Linked DNA regions of Arabidopsis thaliana. The protein of the gene in region 2 interacts with the protein of the main gene of each other region in a biochemical or structural test. Each region holds a gene or a part of one and is shown on either strand. Other genes may lie near its edges. The genes, in order: delta-ADR, AT2G43160 and AT3G08530.

The links.
Region 1: the proteins of AT2G43160 (region 2) and delta-ADR form a complex in vitro, tested with the Arabidopsis thaliana proteins (one study listed by BioGRID).
Region 3: the proteins of AT2G43160 (region 2) and AT3G08530 form a complex in vitro, tested with the Arabidopsis thaliana proteins (one study listed by BioGRID).

The regions. Positions count from the first base shown.
Region 1 is NC_003070.9:18,035,453-18,041,215, forward strand, and holds delta-ADR (delta-adaptin), read right to left. Parts: upstream 3,954-5,763; 5' UTR 3,810-3,953; coding exon 1,200-3,809; 3' UTR 852-1,199; coding exon of another isoform or gene 567-851; 3' UTR 515-566; downstream 1-514. Other genes in the region: AT1G48750 (Bifunctional inhibitor/lipid-transfer protein/seed storage 2S albumin superfamily protein), read left to right, coding at 567-851; AT1G48770 (hypothetical protein (DUF1639)), read left to right, coding at 4,833-5,306, 5,399-5,464. UniProt on the Arabidopsis thaliana protein: Part of the AP-3 complex, an adaptor-related complex which seems to be clathrin-associated. The complex is associated with the Golgi region as well as more peripheral structures.
Region 2 is NC_003071.7:17,946,116-17,953,910, reverse strand, and holds AT2G43160 (ENTH/VHS family protein), read right to left. Parts: upstream 6,112-7,795; 5' UTR 5,641-6,111; intron 5,559-5,640; exon of another isoform or gene 5,241-5,558; intron 5,114-5,240; exon of another isoform or gene 5,085-5,113; 5' UTR 5,028-5,084; coding exon 4,993-5,027; intron 4,890-4,992; coding exon 4,838-4,889; intron 4,599-4,837; coding exon 4,519-4,598; intron 4,430-4,518; coding exon 4,351-4,429; intron 4,252-4,350; coding exon 4,168-4,251; intron 4,050-4,167; coding exon 3,904-4,049; intron 3,637-3,903; coding exon 3,334-3,636; intron 3,128-3,333; coding exon 3,086-3,127; intron 2,998-3,085; coding exon 2,899-2,997; intron 2,826-2,898; coding exon 2,632-2,825; intron 2,385-2,631; coding exon 2,149-2,384; intron 2,071-2,148; coding exon 1,221-2,070; intron 1,132-1,220; coding exon 644-1,131; 3' UTR 242-643; downstream 1-241. Other genes in the region: AT2G43180 (Phosphoenolpyruvate carboxylase family protein), read left to right, coding at 74-192; AT2G43150 (Proline-rich extensin-like family protein), read right to left, coding at 7,380-7,795. UniProt on the Arabidopsis thaliana protein: May have a role in transport via clathrin-coated vesicles from the trans-Golgi network to endosomes. Stimulates clathrin assembly. Binds to membranes enriched in phosphatidylinositol 3-phosphate (PtdIns(3)P). Plays an important role in protein trafficking.
Region 3 is NC_003074.8:2,592,614-2,597,591, forward strand, and holds the start of AT3G08530 (Clathrin, heavy chain), read right to left. Parts: upstream 3,042-4,978; 5' UTR 2,799-3,041; coding exon 2,754-2,798; intron 2,402-2,753; coding exon 2,197-2,401; intron 2,091-2,196; coding exon 2,002-2,090; intron 1,885-2,001; coding exon 1,806-1,884; intron 1,731-1,805; coding exon 1,603-1,730; intron 1,501-1,602; coding exon 1,402-1,500; intron 1,322-1,401; coding exon 1,213-1,321; intron 1,106-1,212; coding exon 1,026-1,105; intron 943-1,025; coding exon 715-942; intron 629-714; coding exon 563-628; intron 436-562; coding exon 319-435; intron 226-318; coding exon 28-225; intron 1-27. Other genes in the region: KOB1 (elongation defective 1 protein / ELD1 protein), read left to right, coding at 3,900-4,286, 4,531-4,680, 4,818-4,870.

The DNA.
Region 1 (5,763 bases), on a different chromosome or scaffold from region 2:
TTTGTCTTCAGTGAAAACATATAAATTTATTTCGTATGAGACGAATCAATTGTTGCTTGTTGTCCTAGCATGGATCACTCTAATTAGTAGTAATGAGGTTTTGCTAAAAGTAACAAGATCAGTTGAAGCAAACAAAGATGTTTTTAGTGTTGTTGTTTTTTTGGACAAAGATGTTTTTAGTGTTTAGCTTTGGTTATTGTGGTACAATGGTAAGTCTTGATCTTTGGAGTTATTGTTTTAAGTCGTAGCTTTTATTCTCTCTTTATAGCTTTTTTTTAGCTTAGTATCCGGAGATAAATTTGTCTTTCACCGGCTTAGTTTTTGGAAGGGTTTGATCCTTGCCGGCTTCATGTATCAAAATACTATCCCACCGTTGTAAGTTGTAATCCTCAATGGCTCAATGAATGATAATAAATAAAGTTAACTCTTTCAAGTGATAAAAAAAAAGAAAAGAAGAAAGCTTTTATCACACTTTCTATCCCCTATAAATAGAAGGGATGGCTTGAAGACACATACTGAAAACAGAACAAACACAAACACAAACAGAGAATCAACGAAGAAGAAAAATGGTGAAGGTGATGTGGGTTTCCGTTTTAGCTCTGGCGGCGGCGATTCTCCTTTTGACGGTCCCGGTGGCAGAAGGGGTGACGTGCTCGCCTATGCAGCTGGCTTCATGTGCGGCGGCGATGACGTCATCGTCGCCGCCATCGGAGGCGTGTTGCACAAAGCTGAGAGAGCAGCAGCCATGCCTTTGTGGGTACATGAGGAACCCTACCCTCCGCCAATACGTTAGCTCCCCTAACGCAAGGAAAGTCTCCAACAGTTGCAAGATTCCTTCCCCAAGCTGTTAAGGAAATGTTAATCATGATTAATTAGTGACAAGTTTCGCTGATTATAGTGGTTAATGCTGGTCTTATCTTCGTCACTACTATTTAGAATAATAAATGAAGTGATGATGATTGATGATTGATGATTGATGATTATCATCATCATGCTTGAATGTTATGTTTTCTATCTTATAAAATATGAAATATACTTTAGAAATATGTTTCGTCGGATCTCTCTTATAAATTATGACAGAAACCAAGAAACCAATACATGAAAGTCTATACACAAAAAGAATTACACAAGACATTTTGTTTGGTTTCTGTATGAACAAAGACATATTTTAAAAGAACACAAACTGATTTTTCACTCCATCACAAGAGAAAATCTGGAATTATAACTTGTTCTGAAGCAGAAGCTACTTCATTTTGCCGTCGTGATTTGTGCTTACTACTTCCCTCTCCCTTCTTCTTCTTTTTCTTCTTCTTCTTCTTCTCTGAGTTCTGATGATTTTCTATCCTCGAGCTCTCTTCTTTTTCCTGTTGTCCTGAATTCGGATTTCCCTCGTACCTATCTTTTTCTTTTCCCTTGTTCTTTACCAGAAGAGCGCTTTGGATCGCTCGGGACAAAGATTCATCATCATTAGCAGTCTGTATATTTGTTTTTGCTTGAGGAGTGATTCTTGATTCATCTCCATCGTCTAGTTTCACCACTACAGGCCGTGGTTTAGATTGGTTTGGCTTTCTCTTGGGGTTAAATGAATCCTGGGATATCTCGTTTGCTAATTCATTTGCCAGAGGATAATCGCTTGACGTGCCGTTGCTATCTTGATCCTCCTTTTGAGAAGTAAGATAATACATTCCATGGCGTTTACGGTGTTCAGCTAGCAGAGATGAAGCTTCATGTGGAGGAGATGAAGATGAAGTGGCTTCTTGTTGATCTCTGATTCTGAGTTTGGAGACAGAGAAGCTGATCTTGTCTGTGTATGAAACCGAATCCGATTCCACGGGTTTAAGATGTTCCCCACAGATCTCCTCCAGATCCCCGAGATTCTCTTTCAGCTCTAACCCATCCGGTACACAAACCTTTTCTTGTGCAGTTGCAGAAATAGGACCAAACTCTTCTGAGAACACATCTTCCATGAATGCTGTAACTCTAGAAGCTTCTGTTTCGTTGTCTTGGAGATTTAATTGCTCAGCTATTTCTTGCTTTATCACACTGATGTATCCTAAAACATTCTTAGCTCTCTCCTGCACTTCCACATCATGGTATCCAGATAAAGGCCCCAAACCAAGCTCAATCACATTCACCAGACTCAATATAGATTCATGTGTGAAAACATTCACCAACAAAGAGCCAGAACTTGATTCCTGAGCCAAGGATGACGAAGTGGGTTCCTGGGACGAGAAGTAAGACCCCAGACAGAAGACAAGAACTTTGAAAGCTGAATGTATATAGATAGCTTTTATGGAGGGGGGTAAGAGATCAGTTCGTGGTTGCAGAAGCGCCTCCACAGTTTCATACGGATTCTTAGAGAACTCAACGTATTCACCTGAAACCCACGCAGCTGCAGATAGTATAGGGTGTAAGAACAAGTTACCGAGCAATGCAGGATCAATGAGCAGTGCCCAAGAAACACGGACTAGCTGTGGTCTAGCATCTCTGACCCTCATACCGATATCGATCAACTGATGCTCAATATCTTCCCCTCTTTGACAATGTGGGATTCTAGCCATTTCACCAAGAAGAGACAAATACCAATCAAAGTCAACTATGATCTCATATGCATTCCTGGAGCATGCCGATAAGACAGAAAAAATAATCTCATTGCAGAACAAAGGGTCTGACTTGAGTGCATAATTCATAAGAATCCTGGAGATTTCCGACACATTATCTTCATTCACCATTGCCATTAAGAGATGCAATGCCTCGAGTTTAACATTTGGATCCTCATCGCTCATAGCCTTGACGACTACCTCTTTGTTCTCCAAAACTGCCCACAAATGCTTAGGAGCAACAATCGACAAGGCGTTAAGACCGAGATACTTAAGATTTGGATCATCTTCCACCAGAAACTCCCGGATCTTTGCAACAGCAAGTTTCACAGCCGCTTCGTTATCACTCAAGCTACTCACCACGGTTCGAACACACTCAAAAACCAGAGACTTTGCCACAGTCCTCCTCATATGTTCACAAATCGGCTCAGCAACCTTCTTACCCAATCTCGGTTCAATCAAGGCCAACTTAGCAAATATCTTAAGAACCTTGATCAGAACCCAATTATTCCTTGAATCAACCAATACTTTATAGAACTCAGGAGCTAAAGGAAGACAAGACTGAGGATCCTTTGTAGCAAGCTCACAGAACACTCCAACTACAGCAGACAGAATCTGCGGATCAGAGGTTTCAAGATTCTCAACTAGACGTTTAAAACACACCTTAACAGCATCATGATACTTCTCAAAAACCCTCAAAACCACACCAATTGCTTTCTTCTTCACGAAAGATTTACTACTACCCAGGAGAGTAAACACTTCAGGAGTCAAATCTCTAGCTAGGTCATGAGTTCCGATCCTAGACAAACATTCCAAAGCTAGACTAACCTCGTATTCATTAGCACTATTCAAATCCTTTCTCACCTGGTTAGTGATCAGAAGCATAACCGAGGTCTGATCGTTGAATGATTGAGTAATTGCTTGGTAACCGATCCTCTTGTGTTGGAATCGTGAAGAAGACACGACTTCTACGGCGTGAAACGCGGCCCAAGACATGTCGACGCCGTGAAGTGCGGCGAGGTAAGAGAGCTTGTGAAGAGCGGTGGATTTAGTTGAGAGATCTGTGGCTTTGATCTCGCGGCGGATTTCTTCAACGGCTCTAGAAATGAAATTGGATTCTCCGAGAAGCTGGAGACGAAAGCCTTTGATTAGATCCTCGAGACTTCGTTGGAACAAGTTGTCCATTATAGAAGTGGAAGACGACGACATTGATGATTCTCGTGGTTTTGAAGAGATCCTTCTTAGTGGTTAGGTCTTAAAACTGTAGTTGGAAATTGAAAGGAGCCATCAATTGATGTTGGGAAGATGAGATTCCGAGGGCTTTTCAAGCTGATCGGCGTTGCCCAAACTCGCGATCTCATCGGAGAGGGAAGAAGGAAGTAAGGCAAGAAAAAGGGCTTTGTGGGCTTTAATGGCTTATTGAGTTTGTGGGCTTTTTTATAGTAGAAACTAGTGGGCCTTAATGAATTTAATGACATATTTTCCAACATTTGGAAAATGAAGAAATTATATGTATGCGTTTGTCAAATCTAAAATTAATCATGTGAATTTCAATGCAAAAATTTGATGTTGCATTTTGTGTAATGATAGTTTGGAATTTGGATACAAAACTATTATATAAATTCAAAGATATTTCAACTATATTATTAATCAGGTCATAGTTTTTATAGATGTATTTTTATTTTACGTTAAAATAGATTTTTGCATTAAAGTTGTGGTAATTTCATTTTTTTATAATTTAAAAAACTATTAAACTCTATTTTTGGCGCTAAATTTACATCTTCGAAACATATCGACTAATTTAGATAGTGTCACTTCTCTACATGAAGGAAGATGTTATATTATATTACAATGGTTTTGCTAAATAATTCAAACATTTCAAAAAAAAAAAAAAAAAAATCAGCCCCAAGTGTCCAACATGTAAATACATTTCATATTTTATATATAAAAAAAACTCGTAAATTAGGATTAATTGAAATATTAAGAATATATCAATTTTTAGTGCTTATCACTTCTATTTTTTTTTTGTTATTTTCCTTTTACAAGTTGGTTTTTGTGTTCTATATATAAATCGCACAACGTTACAAATAATTTCGACAATGGAAAAAAAAGAAGGAAAACGAATAAAATAACTCTGAGAATAAGTACGGGAAAAAAAAACTTTGAACTGCTCTCTCTCTCTCGAAGCTCTCAACAAAAAAAATCGAAGAAGAAGAAGAAGAAGACGTAACAATGGAGCCTCCTTTTGAAAGATCGAAACGTCTCCACAACTTCTCTTTGCCTCAACTCCGTTGGGGTCAACAAAGATTCCTCAGATGCGTCAATCTACCATCTCCTCCTCCTTCTTCTTCCTCTCCCGATCACGCAGCCACCAATAGATCCGTCTCCATAGCTGGAGTTTCTCTTACAAGAGGAGGAGGAGGAGGAGCGAAGAACGGGGAGGTAGTTGCGGCGGCTAAGCCATGGAATTTGAGGATGAGAAGAGCTGCGTGTAGTGAACCTGGAGAAGAAATTGAAATTGGCGTTAATAAGAGAAGAAGTATCATCGATAATGAAGATGGAGGAGGAGATAAGAAGAATGAGAAATCGAAATTCTCTATTGCGTTGTCGAGAGATGAAATTGAACAAGATTTCTCCTTTGTTTTTGGGAAAAAACCTCCCAAGAGACCTAAGAAGAGACCAAGGCTTGTTCAGAAGAAATTGAATGTAAGTTAACAATCTTCTCTTGTTTAATTTTTGGTTGCTTGATTTTTTTTTTGGATGATTGCTAAATTGTGTTCTTGTGTTTGTTTTTGCAGACGATTTTTCCAGGATTGTGGTTGAATGAAGAAGAAGTGACGATTGATTCGTATAATGGAGCTTAGGAAACAACATGAAAGGTTTTTACTCTGTAGGATAATATGTATCTCTCTGTTCTTGTTCTACTCTTTGAGACATTCTCAAGTTTAGCAATTTTTCTGGTTTCTGATCCTTTGTTGTTATTGTTGTAAAGCAGATTACTGGGAATCTTATCATTCATTCACTAATTGTAATCTCCAGCTGTTTGTTCTTTTAGTAATGCAGTTGCTTCAATATTGTTTCTCTCTTCTTGTTCTACTTTGAGACCTTCTCAAGTTTAGCTATGTTTAGTTTAGTTAAGAAATTCTTCACCAGTCTAATTGTA
Region 2 (7,795 bases):
ACTCCTAAGTCTCTCTTATTCTGTTTCAGTTTTCTTAGGCATAGTTATTGACAGATCCTCAAAAAATTCGCAGCTTTAGGAGGCGTGAACTTGAAGCAATTGATGGACGATGCAGCAGATGAGGTCGGAGGGAAAATTTTGTTAGATTTTAAAGACACTGCAGGTGACAGAATCCAAGTCTTTCTAGAATGACACACACCTAGTGAAGAAAAAGTAAATACAGCCGGGAAACATTTAAAAAGAGAATACAAAAATGTAAAGATTTTATTTGTTCCGTGAATGAGAAATGTATTACACATCTTCAAAATAAAGAAATAGAAGTGAATGTGTATATATCAAATTATATGCATATAACAAAAAAAGGGCAGACCCGAGCAAGGTTTGCCACTCTCACACTGGTACAAATTTCACAACAAGCTCTCAATTTGGTCCAAACCAGAAAAAAATAAAAATGAATGATGAGTGACGAGTAAGGCAAGAACAAACAGAGAAGAAAATTCGTGGAGCCGTGTTGCCTGGATGAATAATGTAACCTGAGTACTTTTATCGACTGATATTACATATCCCAGAGTAAAGAAAAAGCACAGGCGAGCGTATTCTTGATTACACGAATGAAGTCAAGTGCATCATGTTTGGCTTGATCTTACCGGTATCCACCACCATAGGATTGTTGAGGGTTGTAACCACCTTGACCCATCATCGGATTGTAGTTATTGCCAGGCATGTTTGGGCTAGGTACCATCCCTGGGTTTTGTGGTTGCATCGGATAGCCTTGGCCATATCCTCCCATGTTCATGTTCATGTTCATGCCGGGTCCCATTCCCATACCCATCGGTTGGTTTTGGTTCATTCCGGCCCCCATACCCATACCCATGGGTTGGTTCTGGTTCATACCTCCGTAGCTACCAACACCCATTCCTCCGCCCATGGGCATGCCAGAGCCTGTCATTGGATTAGGTGGAGGTCTCATAGCAGTTGCACCAGAACGCCCTAAGCCAGTGCCTGATCCCATGGCTTTACCCATATTGATAGTCGATGTTGCTGGTGTGTTTGTTTGTTTCTCCAGCCGTTTCTCTCTCCTGTTGATCGCCTCGAAGTCAACTCCTATGTCTGCCAATGGATTTGTTTTAGCTGCGATAAGTAGAAAAACAAAAACAATGTTAGAAAGTTTGCTAAAGACGTTTTTTTTTCCTTAAATGGTATGGTGAAATCTATCTTACATCCAGATATGTTAAAGTTAACAAGCCCCCTGCTCAACGTGTCTGCCCAGACTGATGATTTTGGCTCAAACTTTTTCTGAGGCGGAGGAACAATCTCAATTGCTCCTGTTAAAGGTGTGAGATCTGGATGAGATGATGATGACGTCAAGGAGTTGGGCGTAGCTTGCGAGAACATGTCTCCCATGACATTGTTGTTCCCTTGCAGAGTAACAGGTCCGGATTGAGTTCGTTGTGGACCATGGGATGGCGGCATTCCATGACCTTGGTGTGCCATGAACTGACCAGCTGGTCCACTTGGGGTAGAGTAAGGAGTTTGTGAGCCCGGCTGGTGCATGAAGCCTCCACTATTAAATGGCATGGCTCCAGTCATATTTTGAGAATGAGGAACCATGTTATATGGTTGAACAGCTTGTCCAAATGGAGTTTGTCCAGGCAGGTTTGGAGCTGTAGATACCGGCGGCTGAGAATGAAATCCCTCGTACATGTTGTTTCCACTGGGAGGAAATTGAGATGTTGGTATTGAGGGACCCGATTGTACTGGAGGTCCAGATGGTGGGAGAATGCCAGCGAGGATATCAATACCACTCTGAGATGTAGCAAATTGCTCTTGAGGAAAACCTGGTGAGTTCGATGGAGGTTGCACATTCTGAGAAGCAGGATCAGGATTGGCAACGGCGGAAAATGAGTCCCCAAAGCCAAAGTTATGAGCAGTATCAGGATGTGAGACCTCTGAAGTGAAGGCTGGAGGTGGTGGCTGGAAAGAAGCTCCAAAATTCTGCTGTGGGGTTGAGTCGGTGTCAGTAGAAGTGAAGGCCTTGAAAGGAGAGTCACCAAATGGGTCATCAAATGACTGCATAATCCAAACAACAGTCATCAATAATCATAGGAAACCATCATAATCTTCATACTCCAAGCTCAGTGTATATACCTGAGTTGATGGCTGAGATGTAGAAAACGATGGAGCTGGACCAGCGTTTGCTTGTCCATTGGTTTCAACATAGATAGAATCAGCTGGTACAATGGCCAATGCGTTTGATGAAAATACGTCTGCAAGGGAACCAAGCAAGTCCATCTCAACACTGTTTGAGGTGGTAGGGGCAGACATAGAAGTCACAGTTGGAGGAGCTGTAACACCATCTGTAGATGCATATGCTGGAGGGCCAGCTGGAAAAGTAAAGGAACACAACGGCCACACTCAGAACAAGCAGAGTTTAATGGGATAGAAATATACCATACAGACATGAGAATACAATCATACACCCTCCAACTAAGCCTTGAAACATTTACTGAATTAGTTATAGTTATTGATTAAAGATTTTCATGTAATCTCTATGCTGCCGAGGAGTTTGAAAAACTAAGAAAATATCTCAAGATACAACTAAAGAATTGCAAGAGTTTGAGTATTCTGTACCTGAAAACGCACTGCGTGGATCAAATTCATCGAAAGTCTCAACTTTCTGAGAAGGTGATTCATTAACAAAAGTAGCAGTTGTATTGGCTGTGTTGGTTCCAGTTGGAGGAGAAGCAGCCTCTGGAGCAGCAACTTGTGGGGGAGGAGGAGAAGCAGCTCCTGGAGCGGTAACTTGTGGGGTCTCCCCACCATCCCTGGCATAGAAAGATTCATCAGCACCAATAAAAACCAAGGTAGCTTTCAATTTTCAAAGCAGAAAATGATCACCTTTCACTATATACAGGGCTGCGTGAATCACTGACAGCTTCTTCATAACTGGGTGGAGCGCCAATATTTTGTTCAGAAAACTTCCTCTGGAGCCCCCCTCTACCATTATAATCCCGAAAGAAGGTGAGATGAGTTGTCATACAATAAAAGAATGCCTAAACTTCAGTAGAAATTTATCAGAAATTACCTCCCATCCTGAGAATTATCATCAGCTCGAGCACCACTGCCCCTACAGGACAAAAAGGAGTGTATCCATTTAAAATTTGAAAATGGAACTAGACTAAGAAGATTGCGGTTCGAAATGATTTTTAAAATCAAGGACATCTACGCTAGTATTCAAAATAAAAATATTCTATCCAAATGGAGTTGATAATCTTCAAAATTTTCCCCTTCCTTTTTTATTTCAGGATTTAGGCGACTTGAAATTTAACATACCGTGATGAAGAATGGCCATCATCCTCCCGCTCTCTTTCCGAACTCCTACCTCGTGACCCATAGTTATCAACACTTCTGCTCCTTCCCCTGTAATCATCATCCCTATTACCATCTCTCCCATACCGGTCTTCAGAGTCCCTGGAATGACGATCTCCATCACGACTATTTCTATCATCATCTCTGTAACCATATTCTCTTTCTCTTCCATAACTACTTCGCTCTTCATCCCGGCTTCCGTAATCATATTTATCCCCATATCCGCCTGAAGGCTTATACATCCCACCTGGTGCTGAGCTGCGATACCTGTTGTAAAATAATGTAGGTTGATATGTTCAGCATATTTTGAATGAACCAAAAGACATGTCATTTTTTTTTCTCGAGATAAAAACTTTCAAAATTCAGAAGCTAATACAGTTAAAGTGCCAGTACTACCAATTAATAGACTACCGAGAAGCATAATAACAATTGTAAGCCACTAGCAACAAGAAATCAAACGAGTGTCCACCGAGACTCACACAGAGAGAAAACTATCCACCAGTTCCAGAAAGATACAATGACAAGCAAACTTACTTATCTCTATTAGCAGCAGCCTTCTGTCTGACTTCAGCTATTCTTTCCTTGTCATTCACCAAAGCCACCAGGCTCTGTGATTTCTTCCTAACATTGCTTCCTTGATCTCTACCACCGGAATCAATATACTGAAAATCGGACAATGTCTGCCACAAGGAAAATAGACATATATACAAGTAAGATAGTCAACTACTGAGATATAGCACTAAAGGATTCTCTTGATGTTGAATACTTCCAAAATAATGTACTCAAGGTAGTCATTACCGAAATTTGATATGCACGTTCTCTAATCTCGTCTATAACACGTTCTGATCCATGGCCTACCATGTACTCCAAAACTGTCAAAGCCTGAAGGGGAGAGAGAAGAGGTAAACAGCATGAAATACTTTAGTCACTGCTACAGAAATTCAACACAAATTAAGCCAGCAAGACAATAATATTGTTTACCTTATAGACATGCCGCCAGTTTTTTCCGGTGTCGCTAAGGCGTTTCCATATGACCACCATGATCAGCTGATATTCATGACTGAAATAGAAGTAACATGTTTTTATAATTCCTGTGCAATGTCCAAAATCGCAGCAAAATATAGCAAGTTGGAAGGTGGTCGTAGTTACTAATTTCTGGAAGCTTGCGCAAGATCAGCAAGAAGTGATCCATGTGGACCCCATGGCTCATTACTAGTAGCATCTAGAACCTGAATAAGAGAAAGCACAGACAAAACAAGATAAGAGAAAGTTGGATATCTCGCTTTACATTGTTTAGCAAGACGATGAATGCAACCAAGATAAGCTCTCTATTTATAAAAGCCTTTTAGAAACAAATAAAGAAATTGATAAACTCAAGCATAAAAATGGAAAACAGTATCTAAATCTCTGCTGCGGAAGAATTTCTGATAAGAAGAAAAAGAGAGAAGAAGCTAAGAGCATCCATTACCTTCTGTTCTACTCCAGGAACTTTGAGCACTTTCTTGTTGACCTCTCTCTTACTGAATAAATGGAACATAAAATGAAGCATCCCGTCAATGAAAAAAGAAATAAACCACACACAGATTGAGAATATCATTAAATTTCGGGTACGAAAATACTTACAGGTCTCTAACAGTTTGTCCGAAGACTTTCTTCATCTTCGTATGTGTTCCAGGAACAAGAGTATCTTAAACAAATGTCACCTTCTATGGAGTCTGTTGTATAACTAGTATGAGCAGCTTATCTATTAACGTTTCAAACAAAGATATATATATATATCACCACAAATGTATAGATAGAACAAAAAGAAACAAACGAATCATTCTTCATCATAATCTCATTTCAATTACACAATCGTAAGAGCCAGATACATGGAATTGAGGAACGGCAACAAAGCAATCAGCAATGATCGAATTTGTCTTTGTTCAGATTCACCCTAAAACAATCTCAAGGAAGTGGAAAAAATCCCCAGCTCGTAACAAAATTTCCGAATTTTGCAACAATTAAAGGATATAAAGAAGAAGTCAAAATCAACAAAATCCGACTCCTAAGCAGACTAAAAATTCAAACGGTAACAATCAAAATCGAATAAAAAGGAAGATTCACATTCAAAAACGCAGCTCACACAGATCTTAAAGCTAATAACATCCCTCCACAAAATAGAATCACATCGAACAAGATAAAAAAATCAACCGGAAATTTAAAAATGGAAACAATAGATCCAGAAAAAGAATAATGAACATGAAAGAACAAAAAGAGCTAAGATCGTACCTGCAGAAATGTAAAATTTGACCAGAATCGGATCGTGGATCTGTCAAGGCACAGATAATAAAAGGAAGAAGACGAAGAAGAAACACTTTTGAAGGCTTTTGAAGGTGGAGGAGATTGATCGTGGATCTGCGTTTAGCTTTCGCACTTTGCCTCCTCTCTCTACAAAAATTCTCGAGTTTAGAGAGAGAGAGAGAGGAAAACAGCAGCCAGAAGAGAAAATTCAACAGATAAAATAAATAAATAAAAATGAAATAGTGAAAAAAAAAAAGAATAATACAAATAAGACAGCGCAACTAAACACGGAGAATATTATTAAGGCGCTCCAAATCAATATAATGTTTGGATTTGAAAAATCACAGCTGTTTAATTGAGAACAACATAATTATTACTTTGGTCTAACCAGTTTTATAAAGTTTCTATTCTCATATACAGTTTGGAAATGAGAAGATACAATATGCTTTATTCCAAAACTTTTGTTGGGACAAAATTGCTTTATGTCTAGTGGAGTTGGAAGCTACTAGACCTAATACTATATATTTCAGTACTGTTGAAATCAAATTAATTTATCAAAATTGTGTTTATTAGCTTCATTGAATTTCACTTCATCATTATCAAATTAATTTATCAAAATCAACTTAAGCATAACGATAAAGTTTGGAAGGTGTCGTTGCCAAACAACAAACAAAATGACGGTGACAAAAAAATTGGAGGCAAATTACCAAATACGTTTAGCCAATGGGCCTCAAAATCAGCTAATGCTATCCCAAAGCCCAAAGTACAACCACTCCACTTATTTCGAACCAATTCTTCAGCACTTGCTGCTTTTCATTTGCTTTTGTTTGGTTCCATGTTTCGATTAAATAGAAGAATATAAACTATAACTTTGATATTAATTCATTTCAACATTCTTTAATTTTAGTCAATGGTTTTGTATTAAGCATATAGTATTGCTCAATATTTTTTTTTTTTAAGGTTGAAACAAAAAGAGTAGGTGGAAATTAGTTGAATGAAAGTGAGTCTCTGACGTATTACATAAACACAATTATTAATGATCCAATGAGATCAAAGTGATGTGTTACTTCCACTTTCCCACCTTTTGAAGCAATGATAACTTTCTCTGGACGAACAGATCGAAACAATGTCGTGCCCAACCTAAAAGAATATGTCTTTTAACTTTGTCATTGGAACTACTTTTGTCGTTGGAACTATGTTTTAAGATAGAAAATGTTATGACTGTATATCGCATAATCCAAAGAAAGAAGAAACTGAACTTTGTTTTATATGCTAACAACTCTTTCATTACATTAACGGAAGAATAACAAAATAGAAAATGTATGCACAACAATTAAATTACCAAAACCCATTTTTTCACTTAACAACAAAAGGGAACAAAGAGGAGTATGATACGATCTAAAAGGGTCTTGGAAACAATTTGACTTGACGAAGACGCAAAGATAATGATGCACAAGTGGAAGATGAGCGACATTGAAGAAGAGGAAGTGATGTGGATCGTTGTTAGAGATGTTTTGTTTCTGATTTCCACGCCACGATCCTTATTTGGTTCACTTCTTCTTCTCTTTGACTTTGACCCTTCCTTTATTTCATTTTTTAAAAGAAAACCTGTGAAAGAAGAAATTCCGATTTTATTTAGGGCACAATTATTAAAACGGATTATGAGGTAAAGGTATAAGTATAGGACTTACTTGAATAATGGGGAAATTTTGTTGAATTTGATGAGCCTAGTAATGTGTGGGAGGTGGGGGAGAAGCGTAGATGTAGACAGGAGGTGGGGGAGATTTTACCGGTGGTGGTGGAGAGCTGTAAAGGTATGGTGGTGGTGGGGATTTCACCGGAGGAGGTGGGGAGTGGTAATAATATGGAGGAGGAGGAGATTTCACAGGAGGAGGAGGTGAATGGTAGTAGTATGGTGGTGGTGGGGATTTCACCGGAGGAGGTGGTGAATGGTAGTAATATGGTGGTGGTGGGGATTTCACCGGAGGAGGTGGTGAATGGTAGTAGTATGGAGGAGGAGGAGACTTCACCGGAGGAGGCGGTGAATGGTAGTAGTATGGGGGAGGAGGGGACTTCACCGGAGGAGGAGGAGAGCTGTAAACATAAGGAGGGGGAGGGGATTTCACTGGCGGCGGCGGTGAAT
Region 3 (4,978 bases), on a different chromosome or scaffold from region 2:
GAATAAAATCGTCCATTTCAAGATTACCTTCACAAGGTCTCCAAGTTCTTCACTGCATTCTAGTTTATCCTCTGCCAACCAGTTTTCCAGGAGGTTCTTCTTGTTTTGGTTCACAACCAGCCGAGATAGTTCCAGTGACTCATATGAATTGAGTTTCCCTCTAGTCAAAAGAGTCCCAAAATACTGTAACAATGGAGGAGTTTGTCCAGCTTGTACAGGAACACTCTGCAAAATTATAGAGTTGAAAAATTGGTGTTACCAACATTTCATCATAAATAAACATGTTTACACATAGTTGCTTGGATATGAAATAGACACCTGGAATTTGGCCACTGTATCAGGTGTCCTTAGAATTCCTTGAGGAGATTCAGCAGCAAGCTCAGCAGCCTCCTTGTACTTTGTTTGAGCGAACAACTCCTGGAACCGCTGGACAACCTACAACATCCGAGCAGAATATGAGAAACTTCACAATACCAAATGACATTTTTTTTCTTCAAGCTGCCATTTAACAACTATATAATTACTTCACCGAGACAACAGATCCATGATAAACATCGCATACCAGATTTTCTGCACCTGGGAGGTTTCCTCTTTTAGCAAGATTGACAGCAAGCTCCAAATTGTTCAACTGTGATACAAAAGCATAGATTTCTTAGCATGACATGATGAAAAGGGTAGGTTATAACGGGAAAATAGCATAAAAGATTAGCATACTTGGCCACTAATAAAAGGTATAATGGTAGCCTCGTTTACTGTAGCCAAAAGAACTTGTCCTCGCCTATTAATGGCATAGAAACCCCCAACTGAGGAAGCTTCAGAAGTCAAGAAAATTGGGTCTGGACTAATCCGATTTCTGTAGATAGCAGAAGCAGTCTCTAGATCGTACACAAACAACAGGCCAAGTTTGGTGATAACATATATCAAGTTAAATTTGTGAGAGACCTGTCAGGAAAATGAGAAATTAGTGCCAGAAATTGTCACTAACTACTTACACATATAACTGAAATTCTAATGCAATAGCAAACCTGCATGGCAACAGGAAAATCATCAGCAAAATCAGGGGGAAAAAAGAGATCTGCTTGTTTTTTTGTAAATGATGGTTTTCCTGCAAAAAAATCGCCAACCTTTAAAGATCAGATGAATACAACCTAGAAAACGTAACCAATTATATTAAATAACAGTGAAGATATAGTTTTGCGTCGGGGAGCTAACCAGGTTGGGCACCAAGCTCAATGACATGCAACTTTGATGTTATCTGCCCAGCATTAAAGCTCTTGCTTGCAAATGATATAAGAATAGAAGGATTCTCATTCCCAGGAACCTAATATTAATAGTGTTGCAAGTCAAACTACAGTTCAAGATTAGACCATAGATGAACTCACCAAAGAACAAAGACGTTACCTTAAACTGCGCAAACGATGCAGCATGTGCCTCAAGGGCCTGACTCCGCTGTTGATCCACAGAGAAAAGCTGCATATTTCCTTTTACCAATTGTTGTCTCTACAGAAAACAGATAATAATGACAAGATCAGTCAAGAATCTACAACATGAAAGCAGTTTTGATGTCTTTTTTTGACCTAATATGTGGCGCAGTAAACTTACCTCAGGAGAGCCAGGAGCAATTCCAATTAAAACCAACCACTTCTCATTAGGAGAGCACTTATAGTTTATAATTTGATTGTTGGCCAAATTGGCTGTTCTATCAAACATCTTAACTGGCTCAGAATCACCTATAAAACCCGAAGGAAAATTAGAAACGAAAACACAAGATATGAAGAAAATGACAGTAGGCTGAAATATACAACCTTCAATTGACCAATGATAGACGGAATTCTGTGTGACCAGCCCCAACATCTTTGGTGTAATCCACTTCCAAAAGACAACCTGTAAAAACATGAAACATTATTATCCAAAAAAAAACCCGACTGAAAAATTCAGAGTTATACGAAGTGTATAGCAGGAACGATAATGGAGTTCAAATATATTTGCATCAACACTCACCTGCTCAGGCATCTGATGTGATTTCAACTTTGCTTTGGCTTCAATGTTAAATATCTGTAGATGATCCTGAGTAGTTCCTGGAACTTGAGCTACATAAATATTGAAGTAAAAAGTGAACATCAAGATAAGTGGATTATGAACTACGAATTCGAGGAAACCGTTATGGGTTTTAGATCAAAGGAAAAAATCAAGTACCTTTCAAGGCAAGGATCTTCGAGTTTGGGTTCATAAGAGCAGAGTCTGCAGTAATAGGCCTCCTAAGAGGCTGCATCGGCATATTCATATCTATAATTACAACACTGTTTTGCGGTGACGTCTCTCGTACACAGATATACTTGTCAGACTCCATAGTAACATTTGTAAACGTGATGAATTGCTGATTGATCCCGATGCTCGGAAGCTGGAAAAATCAAGATGAAGCGTTACGTCAAATAGTTCATTTATTTAGTTATGAGATCCGAGTACATAAGCACATTGCTACAGACAACAACTTGAAATTCGGCATTGATATATTAACGAAACACAGATCTGAGCATAGTTAGAGAAATCTGATCAGAAACATGCATTCCCAAACAAGCGATCCGGAAAAACTAGAGAGTAACACAACGATCGAGCAGAATTCAGATCAGTAGGAAACTGGAATCAATCAATCAAGAGACTGAACAGAGCTTAATCGTAGAAAATCACGGTCGATTCCAGGAGATACACATCTAAATATTCAAAGATAAGAGTGAAGAGTAAGGAGAACTCACCGTCAGGACCTCCTTCATCGTGATGGGGGCGTTGGCAGCCGCCATGTTTGACCTCAGATCACAGCAAGAGTAAATCCGGGGACGGAATCAAATATACGGCTGAGAAGTCCTGACCGCCAATGGCCAGGAGATAGAACCGAGACGAGAGAAAGACTGGAGAAGAAATGAAATCGCTGCCAGATCTGAAGCAAGTGAACGAGAAAGGTGATGGAAAGAGAAAGAAAATTGAGAAAAGAAGAATAACAAATATATATGGGTAAGTAATGACGAACAGCGATCCAATTAGAGTCTTACATTTATAACCAGGTCCGGCCCATATCGGTCCTTACTGGGCTCTAAGCATCCGAATTTCTAATGAGACGACACGTGAAATATTTTAATTGGTGCTTTTAAATGAAGGTACCTTAGGTGAAACAACAATAAATGACTTAATAATTAAGATTTGATCCAAGAAAAAAACTTAATAATTAAGAATGGAAGAAGTGTCATGACTTTTAATAATTTTTTTTAAAAAACTTAATAATTAAAGATTTGATACAAGAAAAAAAAAACTTAATAATTAAGAATGGAAGAAGTGTCATGACTTAATAATTAGAAACAAAACTTAATTAATCTGATCCAAAAGAAGAAGGAATATTATGTCATAGAGTATCACTGATGATTGCAGGTTGCAATTGTATGTTGCATCAAGTCATCCGTCTTGGTTCCATTCAGTTTTCTGTGATGAAAGAGTCATTTCCCCTGGTTGAATTGGTTTTTTTTTTGTTATATGGCTCTGTTGTTTTGTATAGGTTATTGTTGTTATTAGCTTATAGTGGCTTAGTGTGTGGAGATTTGTTTCTCCCTGTGTAATTGCTTCTGTTCTTTGTGTTGGTACATGTTTCCAATCTATCAATTCAAATCCAGTTGAGAAAGATTAAGAAAAAAAATGGAAGAAAATCTCCCAATTTTTATACATAATAAAATGAGATGAATTGATAATCAATTAGATTTAGTTAGTAAAGTTTAATTTTACCGATGAGATCTCAGACGACCAAAACACGAAAATAAAATAAAAAGAAAGATCTCAGAATCGCGTCTTTCTTCTTCTTCTTCGTCTTCTTCCTCCGAAACTTTTTTTTGTTTTTCAAAGTGGTGGAGCTAACCATGAAATCGACTCACCATCACAGAGCTCCACTAATATCTGCTTCTTCCTCATCTTCATCTTCTTCCCAAAACCATTCATTCGTCTCTAGGCTCCTCCTTCTCCTTACTCTACTTCCAGTTTCCCTTGCTTGTCTCGCCTTTATCCTCCAATGGCGAGGCGGTGGTCTCGCCGATCCTGCCTCTGCTTCTGTTCGTTCCTCTACGTCGGTTCCTGGCGGCTCCGATCTCAATCACGAGGTCTTTCCCGGCATGGAGACTGTTTCATCTGTCTCCCCAAAGTCTCACCAATCCTCCTCCGACTGCTCAAATCTAGCTCGCAGCTCTTCTCCTTCTTTTCCTTACTATGCTGATTGGAAGTTTGGTGTTGATACTAGCTTAAAGCCTAAGGTTACTACTTTCAATTCCCCTGATTTCAAGTCTTTGGATCGATCTACACTTCCAAATTCCTTTTTTTTTTCTTAAATCTTACTACAATGTCTAATCTGAAATATCAAGTTGTTCTTTTTTTATTGGATTATAGAGATTTGAGAAATACCAAAGTTCATTTTTTGATCAGATCTGTCTTTGTAAAGTCACCTCACTTTTTGTGCTCCATGTTGTATATGATTCTTGACATTGTTACTGTTTACAGATATGTATCACGACTAGCACATCAGCTGGATTGGATCAGATTCTACCATGGATGTTCTACCATAAGGTTCTAGGCGTCTCAACATTCTTCCTTTTCGTTGAAGGGAAAGCTGCTACTCCGAGTATTTCTAAAGTGCTCGAGTCTATTCCTGTGAGTTGAACTACCTCTCTTCGCGTCCACTGTTTATTTTGTTTTGGCTGTATATCTCTAGCTCTTTAGTCCTGTAGGTATAAATTTGTATTTAAGGTATGCAGTTTTCGATAAATGTAGTCCCATGTCTCTTGCAGGGTGTTAAAGTAATATACAGGACGAAAGAGCTTGAGGAGAAGCAAGCGAAGAGGTTAGTTAGTTATCCCATTGCATATTTGCGACAAAGCTATAGCTCTTCAAGGCACTAAACACATGTTTTGTTGTATATTCTGAAATTGTAGCATTGTTTTGTTGTATT